Arabidopsis thaliana: one gene and its partners. The protein of the gene in region 1 interacts with the protein of each later gene in a pairwise test. Each region holds a gene or a part of one and is shown in the gene's direction. Other genes may lie near its edges. The genes, in order: AT2G33710, AT1G79220, BLH6 and GNC.

The links.
Region 2: the proteins of AT2G33710 (region 1) and AT1G79220 interact in a two-hybrid assay, tested with the Arabidopsis thaliana proteins (one large-scale study listed by BioGRID).
Region 3: the proteins of AT2G33710 (region 1) and BLH6 interact in a two-hybrid assay, tested with the Arabidopsis thaliana proteins (one large-scale study listed by BioGRID).
Region 4: the proteins of AT2G33710 (region 1) and GNC interact in a two-hybrid assay, tested with the Arabidopsis thaliana proteins (one large-scale study listed by BioGRID).

The regions. Positions count from the first base shown.
Region 1 is NC_003071.7:14,257,137-14,263,255, reverse strand, and holds AT2G33710 (Integrase-type DNA-binding superfamily protein), read left to right. Parts: upstream 1-2,516; 5' UTR 2,517-2,603; coding exon 2,604-2,784; intron 2,785-3,509; coding exon 3,510-3,949; coding exon of another isoform or gene 3,950-3,985; exon of another isoform or gene 3,986-4,216; coding exon 4,217-4,291; 3' UTR 4,292-4,447; downstream 4,448-6,119.
Region 2 is NC_003070.9:29,795,944-29,801,721, forward strand, and holds AT1G79220 (Mitochondrial transcription termination factor family protein), read left to right. Parts: upstream 1-2,907; 5' UTR 2,908-3,283; coding exon 3,284-4,483; 3' UTR 4,484-4,628; downstream 4,629-5,778. Other genes in the region: AT1G79210 (N-terminal nucleophile aminohydrolases (Ntn hydrolases) superfamily protein), read right to left, coding at 343-391, 476-541, 628-690, 767-852, 952-1,021, 1,251-1,318, 1,486-1,561, 1,759-1,805 and 3 more; MST1 (mercaptopyruvate sulfurtransferase 1), read left to right, coding at 4,881-4,982, 5,346-5,531, 5,611-5,670.
Region 3 is NC_003075.7:16,528,529-16,535,450, reverse strand, and holds BLH6 (BEL1-like homeodomain 6), read left to right. Parts: upstream 1-2,088; 5' UTR 2,089-2,665; exon of another isoform or gene 2,666-2,877; 5' UTR 2,878-2,952; coding exon 2,953-3,603; intron 3,604-3,794; coding exon 3,795-4,162; intron 4,163-4,238; coding exon 4,239-4,299; intron 4,300-4,386; coding exon 4,387-4,905; 3' UTR 4,906-5,105; downstream 5,106-6,922. Other genes in the region: SSR16 (small subunit ribosomal protein 16), read left to right, coding at 205-367; AT4G34600 (uncharacterized protein), read right to left, coding at 5,493-5,612, 5,765-5,811, 6,087-6,171.
Region 4 is NC_003076.8:22,988,560-22,995,197, reverse strand, and holds GNC (GATA type zinc finger transcription factor family protein), read left to right. Parts: upstream 1-3,667; 5' UTR 3,668-3,846; coding exon 3,847-4,119; intron 4,120-4,396; coding exon 4,397-4,876; intron 4,877-5,124; coding exon 5,125-5,568; 3' UTR 5,569-5,982; downstream 5,983-6,638. UniProt on the Arabidopsis thaliana protein: Transcriptional regulator that specifically binds 5'-GATA-3' or 5'-GAT-3' motifs within gene promoters. Involved in the modulation of chloroplast development, growth and division in a cytokinin-dependent manner.

The DNA.
Region 1 (6,119 bases):
GCAGTCATGCAGATATGTGTTCAATAAGTTCTGTTTTGTTTTAATGTGAACAAAGAGGGAGGATCGGAGCTTTTTCAACTTATAAGATTTTAAGTTGAATTTGTGAATTAATTGTGGTAAAGATCATTGCAAGAGTGATGAGGACCTACATGAGCATAGATCGTGTTCCGGACAAATCTGCCCGATTCAGAAATCAGAATCCTCATTGGTTAGGCGGACATATCACATATGTAAACGACTTTATCCATGACTAAGCTAGTGTAGGCGTGTAGCCACACAAAAAACTTAAGAATATTGTGGGGTTATTTTTGTAGTATTCATTACCATTTCCAAGAAGTATAGCTACCGATGATTTGTTCACTAGTATAGTGGCCGCTATTGTGTTGTCGTGGCCATGGATATTGACTTGGTAACTAATTTTGTAGCTGGTCACAACATAAAGTTTTGTAACAATTCATATACGTAACATGAATTGTCTCATAAACATACAATACCAATAGAGACTGTGGAAATGCCACCCTCACAAACTGTATATACAGATATGAACTGTTCTATAACTTGCTACATAAAGTACTAGTAAACCAATTGAACCCAAGCACAAGTTACTCCAAAACAATATACAAGTTACTCCGTAACTCAATCTCAGCAAGACGACATTTGCGCAGCTTCTCAAGACTGATGCAACCGTGTGGCTCCACTAAAGCTCTTTTATTGAATCTCATAAAATTCTCTTGTATATGTTCCCTTGTTTTTATACCTTTTTGGCAAAGTAGCAATTATATTTATAGGTCTAACTTCTTGTACGCCCCAACTTTCATTCCTTACTGATATTTACAATTTAGCAACAACAAAAAAAATAAACACAAACAAATATCGATCAAAGCGTTCTGACTAGATCATGTGGTTTAGATCAAAATTAAAGCACTATCGTAACTAAACATACGTAATTTATTATAGTATTACAATGTGTTCATCTAATTGAATAGATGGCATACTAAGTAAAAAAGATGAATGCAACAATCAATGTATATACATAATTCAATAAATACTTAATTAAAAGATATAAATACAAATATAACACTAGGTCAAAGTTGGCCAATAAGAATAATTCTTTTGTGGCAATCATATAGACTACGGCATGGTCTTATGCTATTGGTGTGAGATTGGAGTTGATTTGTTCGTGCGAAGTTTGCTCTGACTATAATATTCAATGTTGACCACATATTATGTAAGCCCATACGTCATCTAGGTCTTTAAATCAATATCTTATATGACACACTTTTAGATTCCCCATTCGGTCAAATGTTTTATTAATTTAGAAAGTAAGTTTATATTGTTTCAGGTTATGTTTTTGTTTGTTAAATATTGTGCTTTTTCTTCAACCACAAGTTTATATGATTGAAAAATAATTCATCAACATCATGCATGTAATGACAATATTTTTTTTGTTTTTGTGTTTCTGATAAGGCGCAATGACAATATTCAACCCCATAAAAAAATCCCTCAACCATTTTTAAAATGGCACGAATCGTCCAAATTGCTTATAATAGAAATATTAGATTAGAATCCACAGTCAGATCCCACATATTATTATTAAAGAGATTCATCGCATATTCCATTCCAGTTGTTTTATGATGACTTGTGCAGAGTGTATTCCGTAAAACTATATATGTAGCGAATAGAAACAGAGTTTGTCCTTTAATTTTGAATATTCATCCTAATTAACCATGAACTTTTATATATTACATAAAACAATTTAAAAACACACTCAACTGTATTGGATGACATAAGCGACTTTTAATTAGCAAAAATATTATGCTATTTTATTTATGTGATTTATACAGTACGTTGTTTATTAAAATAAAATGATTGTGCAAAACACATATGTATCTATATATATATATATATATATATATATAAAGACATTAAAGTCAAATGATAGAAAATACATTATTTACCTAAATAATTGGTGTTTACATGTTTATATATATTAAAGTGTTTCTTTGATTATATGTTTGTCATTTGCTCATTTACCTAAATAATTAGATATTCATCATGGTCATTTAGGTAAATTAATTTTTTGGTGAGTCATTTAGGTAAATTATTAACCCTTTAATGTTCAGGATGAAAATAATTATTTAAATCCACCACATATATAATAAATAATTAATTTTAACTTAAAATGTTGACCGTAATTAACACAAGACTTGGATCATAATTAATGAATTTTGTATAAGACAGTCGTTTTTTTTTTCGTCTTTTGAGACACGCAATCGATTTTGGGTTAACACAAACCATTAATACAACTACATAGTGGGTCGGTCGATGCAGTCCGTAATGTAACGTTTGTTAAGGAAAATTAAAGAGATGAATACAAAGAATTGTTTTTAAGGAACAAAAAAGTGTGTGTAATGTTTATGACCAAAATATCCTCTAGGTTAGACAAACTCTCTATAATATTGGTCAACAAATACATGCGTGTGCGTCTATATATAACATAGATGCAGAGAATAGACATCTTTGCTGGTTCTTTGGCTTGTACCCAAACCCATCTTTGACTTCAAAAATAAAATAAAAATAATCATAATTGACATCATCGGATAATGCATAGCGGGAAGAGACCTCTATCACCAGAATCAATGGCCGGAAATAGAGAAGAGAAAAAAGAGTTGTGTTGTTGCTCAACTTTGTCGGAATCTGATGTGTCTGATTTTGTCTCTGAACTCACTGGTCAACCCATCCCATCATCCATTGATGATCAATCTTCGTCGCTTACTCTTCAAGGTAATTTCATCAGATCCTTTTTCCAATAATTTTAATTGCTATACTTTATAACTCGAGTGATTGTCTTTTCCATTGGTGATTCTCTTTACACATAGGAATGATTTAATCTTGGATTTTGCAATTGGTAATCCTTTAGTGGCTGCAGCATGGCCTTGATCAAATAGAGATATAATTTCATGTATGGCCACAATGCATTAGTTCAATTTACTATATGATTTTTTTAATGAATGTTCATGGTTAGATTTTCTTGAAAAAACCTGTCGGCTTTATTGGTTGGACAAAATTGATCATATTTGGCTTTCGGACAAATATGATTGGCAAGGCTTGGTTGCAATGGTCGTATTTTGGTTGAGATAACTAGCCAGAGAGAGTTTTAGGATTGTAACATGGGGAAAACGTATTTAAAATGATCAAACTTAATTTATATCCTAATTATATCATTGGTGTGATACATAAGTATATATATAGTTAATTACCAATTACGAGAGAGAGGAATGTATAAATGTAGGTTTGGCCTAATATATAGATTTCATAAGTAGATGTAGAAGAGGGGAATAAAAGTTGATGTAGAATGATCATATCATATGATTCAAACGCCCTTTAATAATCTTTACGAAATGCCTCTACACCGATAGTATACGTTATATTCATAGACATGCACGTCACATTTAAGTCACCATTTTCATGACAAGAGTGAACTTACAATTTTCATCATTTTTCTACAGAAAAAAGTAACTCGAGGCAACGAAACTACAGAGGCGTGAGGCAAAGACCGTGGGGAAAATGGGCGGCTGAGATTCGTGACCCGAACAAGGCAGCTCGTGTGTGGCTTGGGACGTTCGACACTGCAGAAGAAGCCGCCTTAGCGTATGATAAAGCTGCATTTGAGTTTAGAGGTCACAAGGCCAAGCTTAACTTCCCCGAGCATATTCGTGTCAACCCTACTCAACTCTATCCATCGCCCGCTACTTCCCATGATCGCATTATCGTGACACCACCTAGTCCACCTCCACCAATTGCTCCTGACATACTTCTTGATCAATATGGCCACTTTCAATCTCGAAGTAGTGATTCCAGTGCCAACTTGTCCATGAATATGCTGTCTTCTTCGTCTTCATCTTTGAATCATCAAGGGCTAAGACCAAATTTGGAGGATGGTGAAAACGTGAAGAACATTAGTATCCACAAACGACGAAAATAACATGTTAATGGCATAAATATCTCTTCGTCCAAGTTATCAAACGCATTGACCTCCGGCTTTGATCATTTTAGGCGCTTAATCTCTTTACGACTTCATTTTGGTAGTCTTTAAAGAGTCTATGGAGTGGATTTAGCTAGGAATCAGGCCTTATGGATGAAAAATATATAAATTTTGAACATGACTATGCAAGAATGGGATGAAGACTACTTAGCTTGGAAAACGTCCTGATAGGTCATGACGACTATATCCACAGAAGATGACCGACGGAGACAACAACATGCCTCACCTGATCGACCGATCAAATGAGATAATGTGTTGACCGGACCGGTCGGATCAGGTTGGGTCGAGTATATCAGGTAGAAAAAAGCTCGTACATGGTGCTTTATGTCTTTCCACTCCGAAGTAGCTTGCTAGTTTATCCTTTTGTATCACGTACGAAAGAGATAAAAAAAAAAGTTCAAAAACAAATATAGAGGGTATACACATGATGAGGGTGTTCGAGTTTCCAAAACATAAGCTAAATTTTTTTAAATATGTACTTACATTTATATCTGTCTTATTATCCAATGCTCATATATTTTTCAACGCGTTGAATGATGAAATGGTTGGTAAATAAAAATGAAACTAAACTAGGTAACAGTCTGCATATGAAACGATTAAAAAACGATTCAAGTAAAATTATTATAAATAAATTATTATATAGGATACACATATCGACTGCTAGTGTATAAAACAAAACATGTAGTAAAAGTTTTTTTGTTCTATTCAAATTTGCGATTATTTCATATAAGTGTATCTTTCACCAGTTAAATAACTGAATGGAGAAAAAGGTTCAACATTATGAAAAATTATTCATGAAAATTATTATCTGTGAAAATATGTTTTATGTTTTTAAAAATCAAATTCACATCTTGTGTGTTTTATTGAGTAATCAGAACCATTTAACCTGTTTTTTGCAAAAAAAAAAAAAAATCACGTAATTTGATGGACAAATCCACAAAGAATCGCGATCACAAAATTAAAATCAGAACTAATATGCCTCTTAGATGATTACATGTGGACACTATCAAATCTACACTATTTATGTTAAATGCTATGTATCATCAAAACATAATAATTTACGTATAGATTCATTAAACAATAATAGTATATGATATCATAAATTGCTATTGTTTTATATAGTGTTTCTCAATTAATCATAATAAATAATATAGGTATGAAATCTAAACATTTTAATACCAAAATCATTTGTATGTATTGACCTCATAAAAGAGGATAAAAACTATCCTAATATATTAAACCCAATTTAGAACACAAATTACCATCATAACTCACAAATCACAACAAACAAAATACAAAAAGAAAAAAGAAAGAAAAAATATAGAGATGAACTCAAAGAAAACAGGCTTCTTTTAATCTTGTTCCTTGTATCACCCTTCTGTGAGTTCTTCACTCATACAAATATATTATAATTCATTTACTCATATATCAGTGTGTTAATATGTATAACAATGAAACACACACATATATAATTTATATTTATGTTCTAATGACTATAACATATAGGTGATACCCTGATTTTTAATGGATTTTTAAAAGTAAAAGAACGAATACTATTTAATGTTGATTCAATATCAAGTGCTATTTGCTGTGGTGTAAAATATGAAAATTTTAGATTCATTTTTTTCAAATGAATTAATTTATCTAGGAATTTTCAATTTGTTAGTTTCTTTATTGTGAGCTTAAAGATTTCTTAAAAACAGTAATCAAGTAATCAACACAAACAAAAATTGCGGTTTTAGTTTCAGATCAGAATCAATTGAATTGGCAAAGCAGCCATATTTTTTTATTGGATTATAAATCGATTTTTGGTTTTTAGGATATATAAAACTAATGTTAACAAAAAAATTGTACGGTTTTTCATATCAGTTTGTTATGCTTAACTAGGCGGTTCAAATACATTTGGTTTATCCAAATTGAACACTTACAACTTTTTAAAAATTATTATCTAGTATTGTTTTCTTTTGGATAATCTATTTGAAGGTATGACGATGACAGAAAGCAAAAGATGTCACAAAGACTCAGATTGCAAAAACAAAGTACCATGTGCAATTCCTGTTGCCTGTCTATATGG
Region 2 (5,778 bases), on another chromosome or scaffold:
CTATCTGATGAATCCTTATGTAACATTGAGAATTTGATATCCGGTTAAGGGAGAAATAGACCGTTTTGATTGAAAGTTGGTCTTGTACAGTATGTAAGTTCCTACTGGCATTTACAACACAGCGTATATGTAGCTTTGGCTAAGTAATTTGTGTGCATGAAACTTGGTTATATGAAACTGAATTTTCACAACAGACGTTTAAATGAGTGAAAAAACATATTCTAAATTATTGGGTCACGAGTCTCCTTAACAAATTCCAAAAGTTTTACAAAAGCAAGAACCATCAACTCTGAGAGTATACTGAGATTCAAATCAGGTTGGTTGCACGGTTAAGTGAAAGTTTTACTCGACTTCAGCCAAGTAATCATCGATTTCTGCTGGTGTTAGCACCCTGCATATAACATTCACTTTTCAGATATTGATGGGAATAACAAGATTTTTTGTTTATATTAGTTTTGTAGTCTTGAATGTTTACCTGAAAACTTTGTCAGTACCGATTTTGCCAATCTCGATGTTTTTGCTTGAGATTTCTCCCTCGAAACTGTGAAAAGACACGGAGGTTATAGGCTTTTGAGAAATTCTGAACTCTGGAAATAAAGTAAATTAAGTTTTGGTAAAAATGCTCACCCTTCCTTCAATGTCAATATTGCCGTGTGAATGGCATCATCAAGTTCCATATCTTCTGTGTACCTGATCAAAGACTAAGATGAAATGACATGCTTCCAAGATCATAAACTCATCACCACAAATGGTAAATTATTATCACCTCTTCTCAAGAAACGTCTTTGCATTCGAAACATTCTTTCCCATTGCAGAAGCTTTCCATGAGAAATAAGAGCCAGATGGATCCACCTAGTGGCCAATGAAAATTATGAAATAAGATGTTTTCAGTTTACGGGTTTTACTTCACTTTGAGCAGGATGGTTATATTTTCTTTAAAGTTCTACTTACTTGATACAGTTGTGGACCCTTGTCATCATACCCAGCCACCAGTAGAGAAACTCCAAACGGCCTAACACCACTATTAACAGCAGAAGGAGACAGAGATTAGAAGCAAGATTCAGTAGTCTAGTTTGCAAATACAGATTTGCATTAACAACATTATCTCACGCCAAATCAATATCAAAACTGAGCTAAAAAGTGCATAGAGAGACTCGCTCTAGAGTTGCAATCTCTGAGCCAATAACACTTTTGAACCCTGTTGAGCATATGAGAGGAAGTAATTACATAACACTCGATATAGTACTTACCCCGATTGAGTGAACTCTTGCATCACCGTGGCAGTTTCCCTTACAAGTTGAGTAACGGGGATGGGTTCCTGCAACAATAAACGCCCTTAGAAGTTGAATCAACAGAGCGATCTGGATTTATGAATAAGCAAGAACTTATATCAACTGGAATCATCAATCCAAAGTTTTTATCATACATGTACTACTAGACACTCCAGGAAAAGAAGACAAAAAAACAGAAGATATTAAAGATTACCTTGTACAGACGGAGATATTGCTCAGCCTGCTTCCTACTCTTTCGCACAAGAACTCGGAAATCAGGACCCATACCACTACATAAAAGGCAATACCAAAGTTAGCACTGAAATCATTAGGGTACTAAGGGAAAGGTTCCATCAGTAGCACTAGCACCTGATGAGAGAGACTAAGTACCCAAAACAAAATAAAAAATGTATGATAAATCCAATTTGCAAGCTATAAAACCAAATTCGCTATTAAAAAAGAAGTATGGATAGCTGAAGAGAAGAACCTGTAAACAGTTCCAATGTTGGGAGTCAAATGTTGAATCTTTTGAACCTGAAACAGACAATAGATAAACATTAGTTTCGTAGGAGTTACTGAAACTATGCAACCGAAAGGAAAGTAACACGAGCAGGCACAGAATGAAAAAGAACTAATTGCTATAAAGAGTTGATCAAACTTACAGACGCTTCATCAACCAATATAGAAGGAAGTTTCTTTTCAGTTGCAATGACAACTCCATTTGAAGCTGCATAAAGAAAACAACAGTCATGATTACCAAAGACAATGTTCCTTAAAAATCTCCTCTCGAATTTGATTAGATCATTGAAAAAACCTTTAATTCCAAGTGATGTTTGGCCTGATCCAACAGCTGTTAGGGCATGTTCTATCTGAACCAGCTTCCCTGATGGGCTGTTTCATAAACCACAACATGAATCAAACCCCGAAGAAACCGTTCCAAATGCTCAGAAAGAGATAACATTGATATGATAAACAAAGTTAATACCTGAAGGTGGTGAGAGAAAACGAGTACTGACTGTCCCCCATTGAAAACCAACTAAATCAAGCTGCAAAAAATGCGAAATAGTGTCATCTCTGGAAATTTAGAAACGTGGAAGCTAAATCTGTTCTTCATCAACAATGTTCAAACTTAAATGAAAAGAAACCACGTCTGAGCAAGTAAGTAGACTGAAGCGTTCAAATCTGACAAAGCTTAAAAACCCGGAAGAGTCTCATCGCCATGGGCAATGTGTAAGGAAAACGATGAAAAAGACAAGATATACCAACCCTAATTAAGAATTGTGAGTGAATCAAATCAAACACAAACTCAAACTCAAAGATCAGCTCTTAGCTCAAACTCAGAGACGAAAATTGAAAACTTTTCTTAAACCCCAAATTCAATATATTTAAAGTTATCAATTTAAATTCAACAAAAGAAACCCATTCAATCAAAGCAACATACCTTTGATATATGGATCGAACGGAATGGTCGCAAGAGAAGAGAGAGAGAAGAGACCCAAGTGAAGAATTTTTAAGCTCTCAAGGTTTCTTGCACAAAGGGTGAGAGTCTGACGCCAGAAAACGAGAGAAACAAAAAAACCAAAACGGCGGCGTTTTAACAACTTCACAGTTACTGTATCTTACATAATAGTCCAATATTTTATATCTCTTTTCAGTTTGAACCACATTATTTATTTACTACCCCTAGTCCCCTACTCTCTCTCGCTTCCACGCCCGACTCGGACTCAAACCTGGTCCGAATTGGCTGTGTCTCTCTCCATCGCCTCCTTCTTCTCTGACAAACTCTCCTCCGTTGGTCGGAGTTTGTTTCTTCGCTCGTTCATCACAAGCTTCGTGTACTGGTAATTGTTCCATTTTTTCTAGCTATTTCGGAAAATTGGATGGAAGAAGCATCTGAAATACGCGTGTAAATGTCGCTGATTGTGTCGTTGAGGCAGAGCCATTGTTGATTCTTAGAGAAAATTTGCTCCTTTATTTCTCCAGTTTGTTAAACTCTCGATTACGCCCTTGAAATGCATTCGACCGGGAAGAGAAATTTCTTAGCTGTTATCAGATTATTGTTTACTAGTTCGAGCTTGGTCAGAAAGGCTGGTTGTAGAAATCTCATTTCTGCTACCTTTACCACCAGGTGTTCGACGTTATGCCTGAATGAATCTGAAGAATGCATTGAGGATTCTGATCTATCGTCTAGGAGAAAAAAATTTGATTATGTTGGAGAAGTTGGTGAAAAAGAGAAAGTGAGAGATATTACTAGTAGTCCTTTACAAGTTTTACGAAGATGGGGTTGTGATGATGATGAAATATCCAAGCTTTTTACTCGTAGGCCTGCTTTGCAGAGAGCCAATGTTGCTCAGTTAGAGTTTAAGTTAAGCCTTCTTAAGCCACTGGGAATCACGTCTTCAGACCTTGTGAAGATTCTTAACTGTCGTCCTAGGTTCTTTAGTTGCCGTCTTGTCCTTGATGAAAGGATCAACTACTTCATGGAGATTTTGGGGTCAAAAGAGGTGTTGCGCAGAGTCATTATCCGGAATCCGTCACTCATGTTGTATGACCTCGATGACAAGATCAAACCCGCGATAGAATACTACAAAGGGTTGGGCTTTAGCCAACAGGATCTTGTCGCAATGTTGATATCGCGACCCACGTTGATTCCAAGAACAAACTTTAACAATGAGAAGTTTGAATACATTGAGAAAACTGGAGTCACCAGAGAATCCAAGATGTTTAAATATGTTGCAGTCATCATCGGGGTCTCGAGGATGGAGACAATCGAAGAGAAAGTTAGAAACTTGGAAAAGTTTGGGTTCTCGGAAGAAGAGATTTGGCACCTGTATGGAAAATGCCCAATCCTTCTCTCTCTCTCTGTTGAGAAAGTTCAGAGAAACATGACTTTCGTCATAGCCTCGATGAAACTTCCAGCTCATTCCGTGGTTAAGCACCCTTGTTTGCTTCTCCTCAACCTCGAGTCTCGTCTAAAACCTCGTGCGGATCTCGTTAAGAGAGTCTTGGAAATGCGTCTAAAGCCATTGATAAAAGAAGTGAGCATTTTCAGAGCGGTAAGGATGAGCGAGAAACGGTTCTTGAAGGTTTATGTAATGTGTCATCCACAAGATATTGCAACCGAGCTGATGGAGTTTTACGAGAAATCCAAAAACATGAAACGTTTAGCTGAGAAATCCAAGAAATACATCCGTAAAGGATTCCCCTTTTGAATCTCTTTTTCATCTTTTGTTTCTTTGGATATGTTCATTAAAGATGTAACATTGTGTAGAATTTTCCAGCTTTATCAATGGATACTTTTGAATCGGTTCATGTTTTGGTTTAGATCAGATTAGTTAAACCGGAATAGAAAAATATCAAAACACAAAACGCGAAGAAGCACGTTTGGTGAAACGAAACGCCAAAGACGCCCTAGACGTGTCTCTCTTCCAGACCCGTTCGTGGCGGCAGTGACAAAATCCTCTTTATTGATAAAAACGTTTGCAAAGTTGCAACCTTTTTGGGTTTAGTACTTGAAGAGAATCAATCTGACAGCAAATAGTTTTGGCGTCTTTCTAACTCAACCCATCATCTCTGTTGCATTTTATCGAGAGAATATTTGAGGTGGATATGGCCTCGACCCTTTTCTCCAGAACTTTCTTGGCTGCTAGTCACCGACTGATTACTCCTTCTCTTCCGCAAAAGATCTTTAATCCAGCCACCTTTCTCAGTGTAAGTCGATATCTGATTCGCGATCTGTTCTCAATTAGCCATTCGTTTGACCACTCGTTAGCTTCTGGGTTTGAGAGTGTCTGGATTGATTTCGAGCGTTTGGATTGTTTCTATGATTTGACAGTGGTTCTACTGGGTTTTCGAGCTTTTGAAATGTTGAATAGACTATAGAGAATTGCTTAATTGTTGATGAGGTCTATGTCAATCGATGCTTTTCTTATCAAAGTTTGAAATTGGACTTATGAGTTTTGTAATCATAAATTAGGTAGTGAAGTTTTATGTGAATTGCTCAGTTTCGCCTCTCTGTATATGATTCTGACTTTTTGGTTGGTCTTCCTCTTCTTGTGTTGGTAATTGCTGAAGAGGTCACTCCACTCTCAGTTAGGCTCCGCTTCTACAGCCTATAAATCAACTACTTGGGCTCGTCGAGCTATGGCTTCTACTGGAGTTGAGACAAAAGCCGGTTACTCCACATCATCCGTATCAACCAGTGAACCTGTTGTTTCTGTTGATTGGCTTCATGCTAATCTTAGAGAGCCTGATTTGAAGGTGACTGCCCTTTCTCCTAGTTCACTTCTTGGAGAATATGTCTGCCAAACTTAAACTTACCTGTTTGTATGCTGTTCAGATTTTGGATGCTTCATGGTATATGCCGGATGAGCAGAGAAATCCGATCCAAGAATATCAGGTGAGAGTATGAACAGATAGAATTTTGAGAACTTCTTTGTTTTCACAATTGTTCAGGTTGTATTCATTCTGGATGAGCGAAACCACACTTAGTACACTATTTGATGAT
Region 3 (6,922 bases), on another chromosome or scaffold:
CATGTTTGGTTGTTTCTACACCTAATGCATTTCATCTGGTGCAAGTTTTCTGTGAGGCTTGGTTTTGCTTGTATGATTGATTTGATTAGACTGGTTTAAAAGTCTAAATCCACACAGTTCTTGGTGTCTAACTAAACTTCTTTTTTATTTTGTGCAACTGTTGAAAGAAATTGATTTTCACTCTATGGTACTCGAATAATGCAGGTACTGGTTATCTGTTGGAGCTCAACCAACAGACACAGTGGAAAGCATGCTTTTCAGGGCCGGTTTGATACCACCAAAGCCTATGGTAGTGGTCGGTTCGAAAAATGGGCAGAAGTCTACGAGCCAACATGTTTCACCCATTACAGGTGAAATCTTGAACTAAGAGTGTTGATGCGTTGAGCAAGAAAGAGCCTTTTGTGTCTGTGTGAAAGGAGTTTATGTAATGTTGTTTAAGACTTTTCTGTTTATGTGAAAGGAGTTAATGTAATGTTGTTTAAGACTTTTGCTTTCTATGTGAAAGCAGTTTAATGTTATGTTGGTTAAGACTTTTCTGCAACAGAGTTTGGTGAATTTTTATTCTTTAATATGAGCATGCCTTTTTACATTTAACAATTCTCACTTTAGACTAAATAGGCTTTGGTAAGAGGCCCATATTTTCAAAAATAAGATTCATTCTCAATATCTGGATTGTATGCTAAAAAAAGGAATTAGGCCCATATTTGCTCAAAAAAAAAAAAAAAAAAAGTTATCTGCCTGAATATGATCTTGGACATTAGAACCTCGTTCTTACCTTTTATGTATATCTTTACTTCTACATGGTAGTAGTTATATAATCTCGTTGATCTTGAAATTAGTTCTTATTCTCATATAGGTCTGAAACTCTTATATTGCTTCTCTTCAAAATTTTGTTCCGTCTTTTTGGTTTCAATATCTGCCAAAATGTATTTGTATCGTCTATATGTGTTAAAAACACATGCAAGAGACTAGTAACTAGACAATAATCTATTTCAAACTAAATTGGTCTTCTAATAAAAATGTTATAGTTATGGAAAAAAGGATGTGTCTTTGGGACATTACAGCTCTATTGGGCCAACAAAATCTCTCGCTTCGTATCCCATTAGATTCTCTCTTTCTCTCTCTCTCTCTCTCTTCCTTCAGAGATGTTCATTGTTCGTATTATTACGGCATCTCTGGCTCTGACCCTCTCGCTGCAACATCTGTCCCTATTCAGACAGCTATACCTCTATTTTCATTCTACACCTAATACTTTATATTTCTTCAAAAATCCACCCTGATCAACTTCCTATCACTATCTAAGTCATTCTCATTATCTTTGTGTTGTTGCTCTCAAGTCTCGCCCATGGAACTAACGATTCTCTCAGCCTCTAATCAGTATTGGACCCTAGTCTTAAAGATTATAGTAGTTACCAAGTTAGGACTTAGGACTTAGGATATAGACTTCTGTCAAACAAGAAAGTGAATGCTAAGTTTAGAAGCATTTGAAAGAAAAAGTACTAATCCATAAATATCTACAAGTTGTTTCCAGGAAAAGACAAAACTCAGTGGGGAAAACGAGCACTTATGGTGTTTACAAAATGAAAATAAAAAAGAAGAAAAAGTTGTGTTTGTTATTTTTTGGGACCCTTATTTCTTTAATAGTTGCATAGCCTCTGGACGACCAGAGTCCACGAATGTATAATCAGATACCAAAAAAGTATGAAAGAAATATATAAAGAAAAGGAAGAAGAAACAATCATGGCTTGGCTTACTTAAAAAGTAAAGTAGCTAATACTCTTAATCAAAACTCACATAATAAACATTAGTTATGTGTTTATAATGATAAGTTAATGACCTATTCATCAGAAAAACAAGTTGTGATATATATACTTAATCAAAATTCACCACGATCTACTAATCTGCTAAATTTTTATTGTTTACTTGCAAAATAAACTATATAACTCAACACTTCCGAATTTAAATTTAAATTTAAGATGACTTTATGTCAAGAAGCTAGTAGCATCTTTGATTCTTTGTACTTTTCAACTTAAGTAAAGAAAATAGAAATGTGATTATATGGAGGATATTGATTTAATCAATGTGTAATTAAGAGACAGAGAGTGATAAGGATTGGGATTAAGATTAGGTTTAGGATTGGGAGAAAGATGAAGAGAGAGGGGTTTAGGTCGACCAACTGGTTGTTAAAGATAGAAACTCCTTAACCATACATTTATATAACATTTTCACAATAATTTTCTTCTCTTTACCAAAGACTTGACTCCAGGAATCAATAAGCAAGAAGCAGGAGGTTCAAGCACCAACCAGATTATGGCTTTCTGAAGCAATATCTTCAGAAAACAAAATAAAGTTTTTATTTGATTTTCTTATTACCATATTATATACTATTAAATAAGAAATTCAAAGTTTTTTTTTTCCATTCTTTCTTTCTTCCGGAGGAGGGAGAGTATGATATGGGTCTTTCACGTGTGACATTGATGAGATGATGAATTCAAATTATATCTCATACCAAAAAAAAAACACAACCAAGAGAAAGAGGCGTAACCTTCTGATTTCTTTCTTTTAAGATATCAATAAAATCTTTCACATTTTCTAATTTTTAATTCTTTTCAAGATTTTGTTGTCTCCTTCAACAATCCATCAGAAGTAGCAGTTTGGTTTCCAGGTAATTTACTAATCTTTTTATTTCTATACAATTCTTCTTTTTTTTTTGTTGTCTATGGATTTGGCTTGCATCTCCATAATTGCATGCATAACCATATATTCAAGACATGTTGAAATCTTACATGTTTCTTAGCAATACACTGATTATATGGATCCTGCTCTGTTTCAATTGTTTTTGAATCTGTCTTTAATGTCAAGCATTTCCTCCATAAGGTTAAGTTCTTACGACCTGATCAGAAAACAAGGGACTATGGAACTCAAGTGAGCCAAAAAGAACACTCCATTTCGATGGAGAATTATCCAGAAACACAGTTTATTCCCGGAGATTCAATGATCCAGAATGCTATAGTTTCTTACTCTGAGGAATCAGCCGGTAGAGAAAGAAGAACTGAAGCTAACAATGTCTCAGCCTCACAAGAGAGGCAAGCATTGTCCAGATTTGGGGGAGTTCCACAAATGCAGAACATTGGTCAAGATTTCGGTTCTTGGAGAGATCAAGCGAGTGACAGGAACGGTTTCCAGCTAATGAGCGCGATGGCAGGTGCCACGGGGATTCTTCAGACCGGTCAGGGACTGTCCCTTAGCCTTGGTTCACAGATTCTTCCAGGAATTCATCAGATAAGCCATCAAAATATGGCGCCGAGAGGCAATGAGTATGCAACACAGAGTTTTCCGGGCGGGAATCAGAACTTGGATGTTGTGAGAACAATTCCCAACTCAAAGTATCTTAAGGCGGCTCAACAGCTTCTAGATGAGGCTGTTAATGTAAAGAAAGCTCTAAAGCAGTTTCAGGCAGAGGGAGATAAAAACAATGAGAACCCTCAAGAACCGAATCAGAGCACTCAAGACTCGAGCACGAATCCTCCTGCGGACATCTCTCAGTCGGAGAGACAAGAAATGCAGAGCAAGTTGACAAAACTCTTGTCAATGTTGGATGAGGTAATAACTTGAGACCTAATCTTCTTAATTTGATCATGTGATGGTTACCTTTTATAGGCCTTTTGTTATAATATTTTAAATGCAAAAAAGCATACATTTAAATAAATTGCAGCCATAATGTTGTTACATTTGGTATATATAGGATATGTTGAATATTTAAGAAAATGAGATATTTCTTGATTTTGGTAAAGGTGGATAGAAGATATAAGCAATATTACCAGCAGATGCAGATAGTTGTATCCTCGTTCGATGTGATAGCTGGTTATGGAGCAGCTAAGCCATACACAGCACTCGCCCTTCAAACAATTTCTCGCCATTTTCGTAGCCTAAGGGATGCGATATCCGGACAAATCCTCGTGCTACGTAAATGCCTTGGGGAACAACAAGATGGATCAGATGGGAAAAGAGTTGGGATTATAAGCCGGCTTAAGTACGTTGATCAACATTTAAGACAACAAAGAGGTTTTATGCAACCTCAAGCTTGGAGACCTCAACGCGGTCTACCTGAAAACTCTGTTTTGATTCTCCGTGCTTGGCTCTTTGAGCATTTTCTTCACCCGTAAGTCTCCCTTGAATCTTATCTCCACACATTTTCTTCATAAATAGTGATGATTACTGTTTGAAAACATGAATAGTTACCCAAAGGATTCTGATAAGATCATGCTAGCAAGACAAACGGGCTTGAGCCGCGGTCAGGTAAGGAATGTTTTATTTGAAGATTGTTTCTTTCTCTTCATAGTATAGTTTATTTATTGATTGTTGTGTGTTTTATGTTTGTAAAAGGTTTCAAACTGGTTCATAAATGCACGAGTGCGTTTATGGAAGCCAATGGTGGAGGAGATATACAAGGAGGAATTCACAGAGAATGATTCCAACTCGTCTTCCGAAAATACACCGAAAATGTCTGAGATAGGACCTGTTGCTGCTGATGATGAAGATCGAGCTCGAGAGTTTTCACAAGACCAGACCAAACCGGACCATGGACATGGATATGGCGAGGAAACTCGTGGCATGGTCCAAGGCAGTCATATGGATGGTCGCCGGTTCATGGCAGTTGAGCCTACATATCATGTGGCTGATACGTCAAGATTGGGTCGTGGTGATGTGTCCTTGACTCTAGGGCTTCAAAACTCTCAAGGACAGGACAATGTTGTGGCTATGTCTAGTGAGGCATACAACAACTTTTCCGGGGTGGATATTTACGAGAATGCCATCCCGGGAGATGAAATGGAGTATGTAAACCCCGGAAGTCGCCAGAACCGGATAAATTCTTCACAATTGGTACATGATTTTGTAGCTTGAAGAAGTAAGCAATGGAGAGGAATAAAGCATAGGTGTGATGAACTTATGATCAGTCTCAATTCTGTAGTGGAAGAATGTTGGTCAGAAGAAAAAGTTTTAGAAATATTTGTATAAAGTAAACATTCTTTTGTACAAGAATATAAGTGAGGTTAGGTCATTGGGACCAAACAGAATATGGTAAATGCAATTTGAGATCTGCAAGAGATGGACATTACACTGTAGACTTATTATCTTATCACATCTACGAAACTGCAACGTTCCCAATTCTCTTCTCTTTTTTTTTGTCTGGCACATATACAATCTGTATCCGTTTTCAGAATTAATCGAATATTTCAATATTAATTTTGATCATAAGGATTCTATCAGATAAATTGTAATATTCATCTAATGATGACTATTCACCAAATTTACATTCTGCATGATAGCAAAGAGCACTATCTAATCATTAATTTACTAGAAAACATATCTTGAAACTTATATATATGATTATCATTCAAACTTATTGCAGTGTTAGTATTTAGGTTTACATATATTATACATCTCAGAAAGTCTGGCATCTATATATAGTCGATCGGTGATATGCATGATCAGTTGGGAATAAGCTTGAAAGGAGGTCTCACGAGCTTTGGTTTAGGACTGGAGTGGCCATAGTCTCTTGAATTCATTCTCAGAATTCTCTCATGCTCATGTATTCTTCTTTCTACTACCTGTCCACAAATAGAATGTATTCACCAACGTACAAAATTGTTCTTGAAATCATATAACTACGATCTTGATTATCAATTTGTTCGGTTTTTTACTAAGTAAAGATATACAACGCACGGTAGTTGGCAACTTTTTTTGGAGTTAAAACGAATACCTCGGGATGATCATCTTCTTGGCTATAGATTAAAATGGATGATCGGCCTACAAAAAAGAAAAAAAAAAGAGACTTAAGCTTGTCTATTCTTTATATCCAAGATTAATCAATCCAAATAACACTAACGTAACATACTATGTCGTTAATTTTCTCCTTTAGTCGTCATTAACACACATGTGGAGAGCACAAGCTCTTAATGTTATTATCTTACTTTCTAAAAGACTGATCTCAGTAGGAGGCACATGAAGTTGCAGAGAAAAGCTGCAAACAAAGGAATATAAATATGTAGATAGAGAGAGAGAAAAAAAAGTAAGAAACAAACCTGCAGAACAGAGAGCAAACGCTGAAGCTGAAACTAGAAGAAAGATGATGAAACCTAGTTTCTTCACCAATGGCAACAAACCCATCTTCTTTCTCCTTTCAATTTTTGATGTGCCTTAAGCTGTATCTTGTGTATTTAGATACACGTACCTTATCAAAAAAAAGAGAAGCCAATGCGTTTGGTATATCACTATATATAATCTCTAAAGAAATAACACGATTAAAAGTTAACTAATTTGTTTAGCCAACGTGAATGCTTTAAATAAAAAGCAACAATAAAAACCGGTTTAAATAGAGATTAGCTTGAGTTTCAAAATTAGATTGTATCAATTACAAATAAATAAAAATAGTAAAATACCATAACAACAATTGATTTATCCATCATTTAATTAATGCAAATATCTCTTAATGCTTTTAATTAAAAAAATTGTTCATGGAAATGGTGGGATTGGAGAAAAAGTTGAAAGGAGACTACTTTCCTATTGTTGGCCACAATAAGTCTAAAGAGGTTAGTGACCTGATTATTTAATATGAGTGCCTTCATTATCATAACCCAATTAAATTTACCAAATCATCATAATTATATTGTAGAATCCTTGAAGACTAGGTATTCAATATCGGTCAAAGTTCCATTCCTATTCTCCAATCAAGAGATATCGCTAGCTATAACCAACTGAATAATGTACGATTAGGCCTCTATAAATCTGATAGTGATATACTATATATGATACACTACTTCGTTTAACTCAAATTAATCGATCATAACATACTTACTGAAAGATAGAGTCATAAATTTTTCTCATAATTTTTTGCTAAAAAGTGTTAAACTTAAATGAA
Region 4 (6,638 bases), on another chromosome or scaffold:
AAAATTTAATAATGGAATAACTGAAGACTGTTTTACACAAATAATAATCATATCCATTATTACCTTATATTCCTTCTCATATATGGAAGAAACAACTAACTTCCTGACAAAAGAATATAAGTATCTAAGACAATTTAGATCATTTCTAGTTAAACTATTTAAGTGATGCATGATATTTTAGTGGTCATAATAATATAGGTTTAGGATTGATGTAATTTTGTTAGAGACATCTTAACGTTCACGACTTTGAAATTCAGGCTTGAAATTTTGGAAATTAATATAAGATTCTTGTGATCCTTTGGTTTTATATAAGAACAAGATGTAATATTGAATTTTTTTTTCTGGCTTATATAACGTATAGTTGAAGACGCATGACTATGCACATGTGATGGCTCACTGCATTTTACATATGAGAGAGACTGAAAATATTTAAAATTAGACTCGGTTTTGATGATAATTCAAAAGAGGTACATGTGTTAAAACATTGAAGGAGATTGATAGATCGCATGCTGTCTTTTTTGAGAACCTGAAAGAACAAAACCCTTAAGAGCTCAGAGAGCTAGCCTACCAATCTCTCTCTTCCCTCTATTTATCTATCTCTTCGCTCATCGATCTCCGTTTCCATGATCCAACGGCTCTGCTCAGCTCGCTTTTCAAGAACACAGAACAAAAGAAAGCTTAGTCAAATATTATAATATAATCGACGAGAAAGAACAGTGGTCAAACTACCTCTGATTTGCAGTGTTCTCTTTTCTTTTCTTTTTTCAACCTTTAATGATAATGGTAATAGAGCTAATGATAATTAAGACAACGATAATCGTAGAATGGGATTAAATTTTATAGTGCTACTTTACTTTGAAACCCTTTCTTTTTTTTGTTAAAGACATTTAAACCTTTTCAAAAGTAATACAGTACTATTATTGACGTCACGTACTGTTAAATAATTTCCATGTTTTTTCATTACGTTTTAATGCATTAACGGTAACAGATTGCATATACATTCGTGATCATCAATTTCCATGTTTTCTTCTGGTTTTTTGTTTTTGTTTTTTGTTTTATGCGTTAAAATTCCTATAACGTGTTTTGATTAATGGACTGACCCGATTTGGTAAGAAATGAAAAAGTTGGCAAAAACTTTTTTGAGCCTGAAAAGCAAACCCAAGATTGAGAAGTGATGCAACTGCAAAGTCATGTAAAAAATGAAGAGTACAATTCATTTGTGTACAGTTTTTTTTTTCCCCATCTAGATACTTACCGTTAAAGTAACCAATAGTAATATTTCATTTTTATCCCGACACCAATAGTAATATTATTTACTAATTTTATTATTACTCAAAAGAAAACAAATGACTTTTTTGGCATGTGATAGTACAGTAAAGGGAAACTCAAATTTCAACAATCACTTTTCTTCATTTGATTTTATCCCGTCTGTGTAGATTTTTTTGGCCCTTAATATACATGAGACATATGAGATTTATCCTCGTTTATCAAAAAAAGAAGAGATTTATCCTCACATCCATACAATTTTCATTATTGTGCTCTTTTGTGCACACTAATATACAATGTTTTGCTTGTTTTGGATTGTTGTAGTTTAAACAAGGTGTAACTAATGGAAAACACATATGTTTTGGTCACAAACCAATTGTTATCTTTGTTGTCTATGAAGTTTCTATCGTCTATATATATGGTCTCTTTCAGTTCGATCGAGGGAGTAGATAATCTATAAAGCGTAAATCATTTCTCTCAGTGCATAACATCTTATTCGACTTTGTACACTGTGATATTGAAAAAACGTTTCTAACAATAGTGATATCATAAGATGCATTGACCAAATCCTATAGTATGTGTTAGAAAATTGGGAGTTATATATAGATCATAATCTGATCCCATATAAAAAGCTACTAAATATAGCAGAAAATTAATATCAATTATTATTTTTTCCTTAGATCATTTAGTTAGCTTAAGAATTGTTACAAATTGATGGGCCAATTTTAAATTTTGAAAAATAAAGATGGATTGTCTCTTTGTGTGTGGGGGTCCTCAATGATCTGTATAATCTGATGAGAAGGAATTGAATAAGTTTGGCAATACTAAGGTGGGATGTTTTCTTCCTTTACCATTCTAAACCTATCTCTTCTCTCTATTCATCTCCTCTCTCTAGATCTCTGATCTCTTCTCCCTCTGCCTCGCTTCCTATCTCTCAATCATGGATCATTTCGTTCTCTATCCTCTGGGAGGATTATTGATGGATCACATGCAGTTGAAAGGATCACGAGTTACATATAGCATATATACTACGTTTTCAAGAGATCTTGAATTTGTTATGCCAATTGAGTAAACTTTGATTATCAGGAAATAAACCAACGAATCAGTGTTGGACTTATTTGAACTTTTAACAATCCATGTTATATGATTGATGGCTTATCACAACAAAGTCTATAATTTTAGGTACTAACTAACACTACTCGTAGGGGAATTTTAAGAAGATCCACTGACTTATCTGAAAGATAAACACTAACTATTTGTCATTTCTATTTATTTATTTATTTTTGACGTTTTTTCACGTAATGCTAATTGACTCTTTTTTGTTTCTCATTTTTTTTTTTTAATTTTTTATTTGTCAATAGACATATTTACAGACGCTAGTTAGATATTCATTTTAAATAAGAGAAGTTTGTTTTTTTTTGGTTGAGAAAATAAGAGAATGTAATATACTTTCTAAAATTTATCAATCAATATTTATTCTAAATTTGTTTTGACTGATACGATTTAATAAAATCTAGTAAAAATTCATAGAGCTGAAAATCTAACCTTTTTAGTGATTCTTCATGAATACAGTAGATTTTTAGTTTAACGGTATATATACATATGAAAAGAACATGAGAAATCCAAATTTTGACTTTTTTTTTTTTCTTTTTCTATAATAGAGCCTTGATGAGATCTAGGAAACCCTAGATTTGAAAAGACAACAAGTAAAAGGATCTTATTTGTTTCAATTATTATCATGATTTGTGTGGCTCTCACTCTCCAATATTTATATAAATTAGGGTTTTATTTTTAATTTTCTGTGTCTCTCTAGTGGGGTAAGGAAATTACAGATAGGGTTTGTTTTGAATGGGGCCGTCCAGTACCATTCCACATACACACAGTTTGTCTCATGTGTTTGGTTTGTATGGGTGCCATGGACTCACGTGAACCTCTAAATTAATTAATTATATATATACATATACATATATTTTCAACTTTCTTAATGTAAATATTGACCATTTACTATTACTGATCATTTCAGTTATTTATTTGTATCCATTTTCTTAAATCAATCCAAGAAAAAAACAACAAGCTTTCTTTACTAGCTCATCAAGGATTACTGGATCGCATGTCCGTTATAGCATATGCAAATAAAATTATGGATTCGAATCTCATAATACTTTATGGTCATTTGAGAAAACTAGAAGTTTAGAGCTTTTTTTTCTAAATTAGAAAAAAACATATAAAAAGGACATTAAAAAAATTAAAATCATTGGTATGACATCCGGACTTGTCCGAAAGTAGGATTTTAAAACAGTATTTTATCCATGTCTTCTAAAATTCACTGTACAAGTTGATGTATACAGAGACATAAGTACCCTAACTCTAGACTCACGTAAACCATTTATTAAACTGATATATTTTATATATGAATATAATAGAGACCATGTGTGTTTGGCTCGTGTCTCATCTCATTGCCTTTAAAAAGGATCAAACATAGTATAGCTTGGACTCTTTTTGCCGTCTATGATCTCTCTCAATCTCTCATCTTAGCTTTCTTTCTCTCTCTCTTTGTGTCTTCATTTGTTTATCTCATCAATGGATTCAAATTTTCATTACTCGATAGATCTTAACGAAGATCAAAACCATCACGAACAACCCTTTTTCTATCCTCTTGGATCCTCTTCCTCGCTTCATCATCATCATCATCATCATCATCATCAAGTCCCTTCTAATTCTTCATCTTCTTCTTCGTCCATTTCATCGCTCTCCTCTTACCTCCCTTTCTTGATCAACTCTCAAGAAGATCAACATGTTGCCTACAACAACACTTATCACGCTGATCATCTCCATCTTTCTCAACCCCTCAAGGTAAATTTACAATTACATATCAACCTTAAGTGTGTGTGTATAAATGTTATTCTTGTACGATCGTTCTTTTTAGTTTAGCAGTTAAAATCATGCCTGATCATGTAAAATTCATACAATAATATTAGTTTCTGAATTTGTATGTCGAGAATTCTATATAGACGAAATTTAATTTATCAAATAAAAAGGAGGGATCTTAAGAAGCCATATCATTATATTATTATGTACAATTCCATCTGTTGTTGATTATAAACCTTGATCGGTGATATATATATACCAGGCCAAGATGTTTGTGGCTAACGGTGGATCATCAGCATGCGATCACATGGTGCCAAAGAAGGAGACAAGACTGAAACTAACGATAAGGAAAAAAGATCACGAAGACCAACCCCATCCTCTTCATCAAAACCCGACAAAACCCGATTCAGACTCCGACAAGTGGTTGATGTCCCCAAAGATGCGGTTGATCAAGAAAACAATCACCAACAATAAACAGCTCATTGATCAGACTAATAATAATAATCATAAAGAAAGTGATCACTACCCTTTGAATCATAAGACTAATTTCGACGAGGATCACCATGAAGATCTTAATTTCAAGAACGTCTTGACCAGGAAGACCACGGCCGCGACCACCGAGAATCGCTACAATACAATCAACGAGAACGGTTATAGTAATAACAATGGCGTGATTAGGGTTTGTTCGGATTGTAACACCACCAAGACTCCTCTTTGGCGAAGTGGACCTCGAGGTCCCAAGGTAGATTAATCACACTTACTTCAATCGAAATTGTCTTGATATATGTCATACTATCTATATCTACCTAGTTTAGTTCACATTTTTAAAATTAATAGTTATATTTCAAGAATGTAGATATTTAATTTATTTAAACCTGATACATCCTTTAAACATTAATACTTTAATCAATGATACTCATAAGTCCAACATTCTATGATTTTTTTTTTGTCATCTACAGTTCGCATACTAATTTTCATTTATCATTGCAGTCTCTTTGTAACGCATGTGGTATACGGCAAAGAAAGGCAAGGCGAGCCGCTATGGCCGCGGCCGCTGCAGCCGGCGACCAAGAGGTGGCGGTAGCGCCCCGAGTGCAACAATTACCGCTGAAAAAGAAGTTGCAAAATAAAAAAAAGAGATCAAACGGAGGGGAAAAATACAATCACTCTCCTCCAATGGTGGCCAAGGCCAAAAAGTGCAAGATCAAAGAGGAAGAGGAGAAGGAAATGGAAGCGGAAACGGTTGCCGGAGATTCAGAGATCAGCAAATCTACAACTTCTTCTAATTCTTCGATTTCGTCAAACAAATTTTGCTTCGATGATTTGACAATAATGTTGAGCAAAAGCTCAGCTTATCAACAAGTGTTCCCACAAGATGAGAAGGAGGCTGCTGTTTTGCTCATGGCTCTGTCGTATGGAATGGTTCACGGTTGATCAGATCATCACAATATCCTCATTACAAAAAGGTTTATTTTAATAGTAATATATAGATTATAGTAATCATAATAATGATTGATTGTTAAATCTTGGAGTGATTAGTTTAGTTTTTGCAGTTGGTCTAATATCAGGAGTCAAAACATTTTATAATAAGAGTGTGTGAGAGTTTAATATGATAATTAATAGCTCTATATATGTTTATGGAGATTTTGGTTTTGAGTTTGTTGTGTTTTTGTTTTCCGATGGAACGAACATTAGTCACCCGATAATGTGGGTAATTCTTGTTCATTTACAAGTTTTATAGTACTGTATTGTGTAACGAGGTTGGAGAAATAATATAATCAATTAAGGGTACTTTTATTTATGTGTTTATCTTTATACAATATACATATCATCACAATTTAGCTCAATCATAAATGGATTACCAGCTTTAAAATTGTACGTCTAGTATTTGGTATCATTCAAAATTTAAATATATTTTTGAAGCTCATAATAGTAGTGTAATTTTTCTTAGAAATGCTTTAAATTGACTATTTTGGATTTAATTGCTTGTGAGAATATACTGAACACAAAATATAAAGATGAGGGTAAAGATGGTTGATATGGGATAATATGAATGCGTATATAAGACAAGAGATCATGTGTGAAGAAGATAATACGTTTGTGTTGCATTTTAAGACGACGACATATTTGCAAGCCCACATATTTTCTTCTAGTTTTTTCATTAGATTATCTAACTAATATAAGCCCTTTATCCAAAAAAAATGATCTAATTAATTTTATTTCAAACTTAAAAAAAACACATATAGGTTGACCTAAGTCTGAATCAACACATCAAAAAATACTTTTTTCTTTCGCTGCTACATTATTACTTAGGGTCATGAGTAGCTAGTACAGCACACCAATCATAAATATATCAAAAATGTAAAATGTGAAATATAATTATTTTTTCACTATACACTATTTTAATATTAAGATCCTTATGAATGTATCATTGGTTTATAATGATCAATATTAATTACTAATCTACATACTTTAGCTTCAAAATATCACTGTCCAAAAAAAAC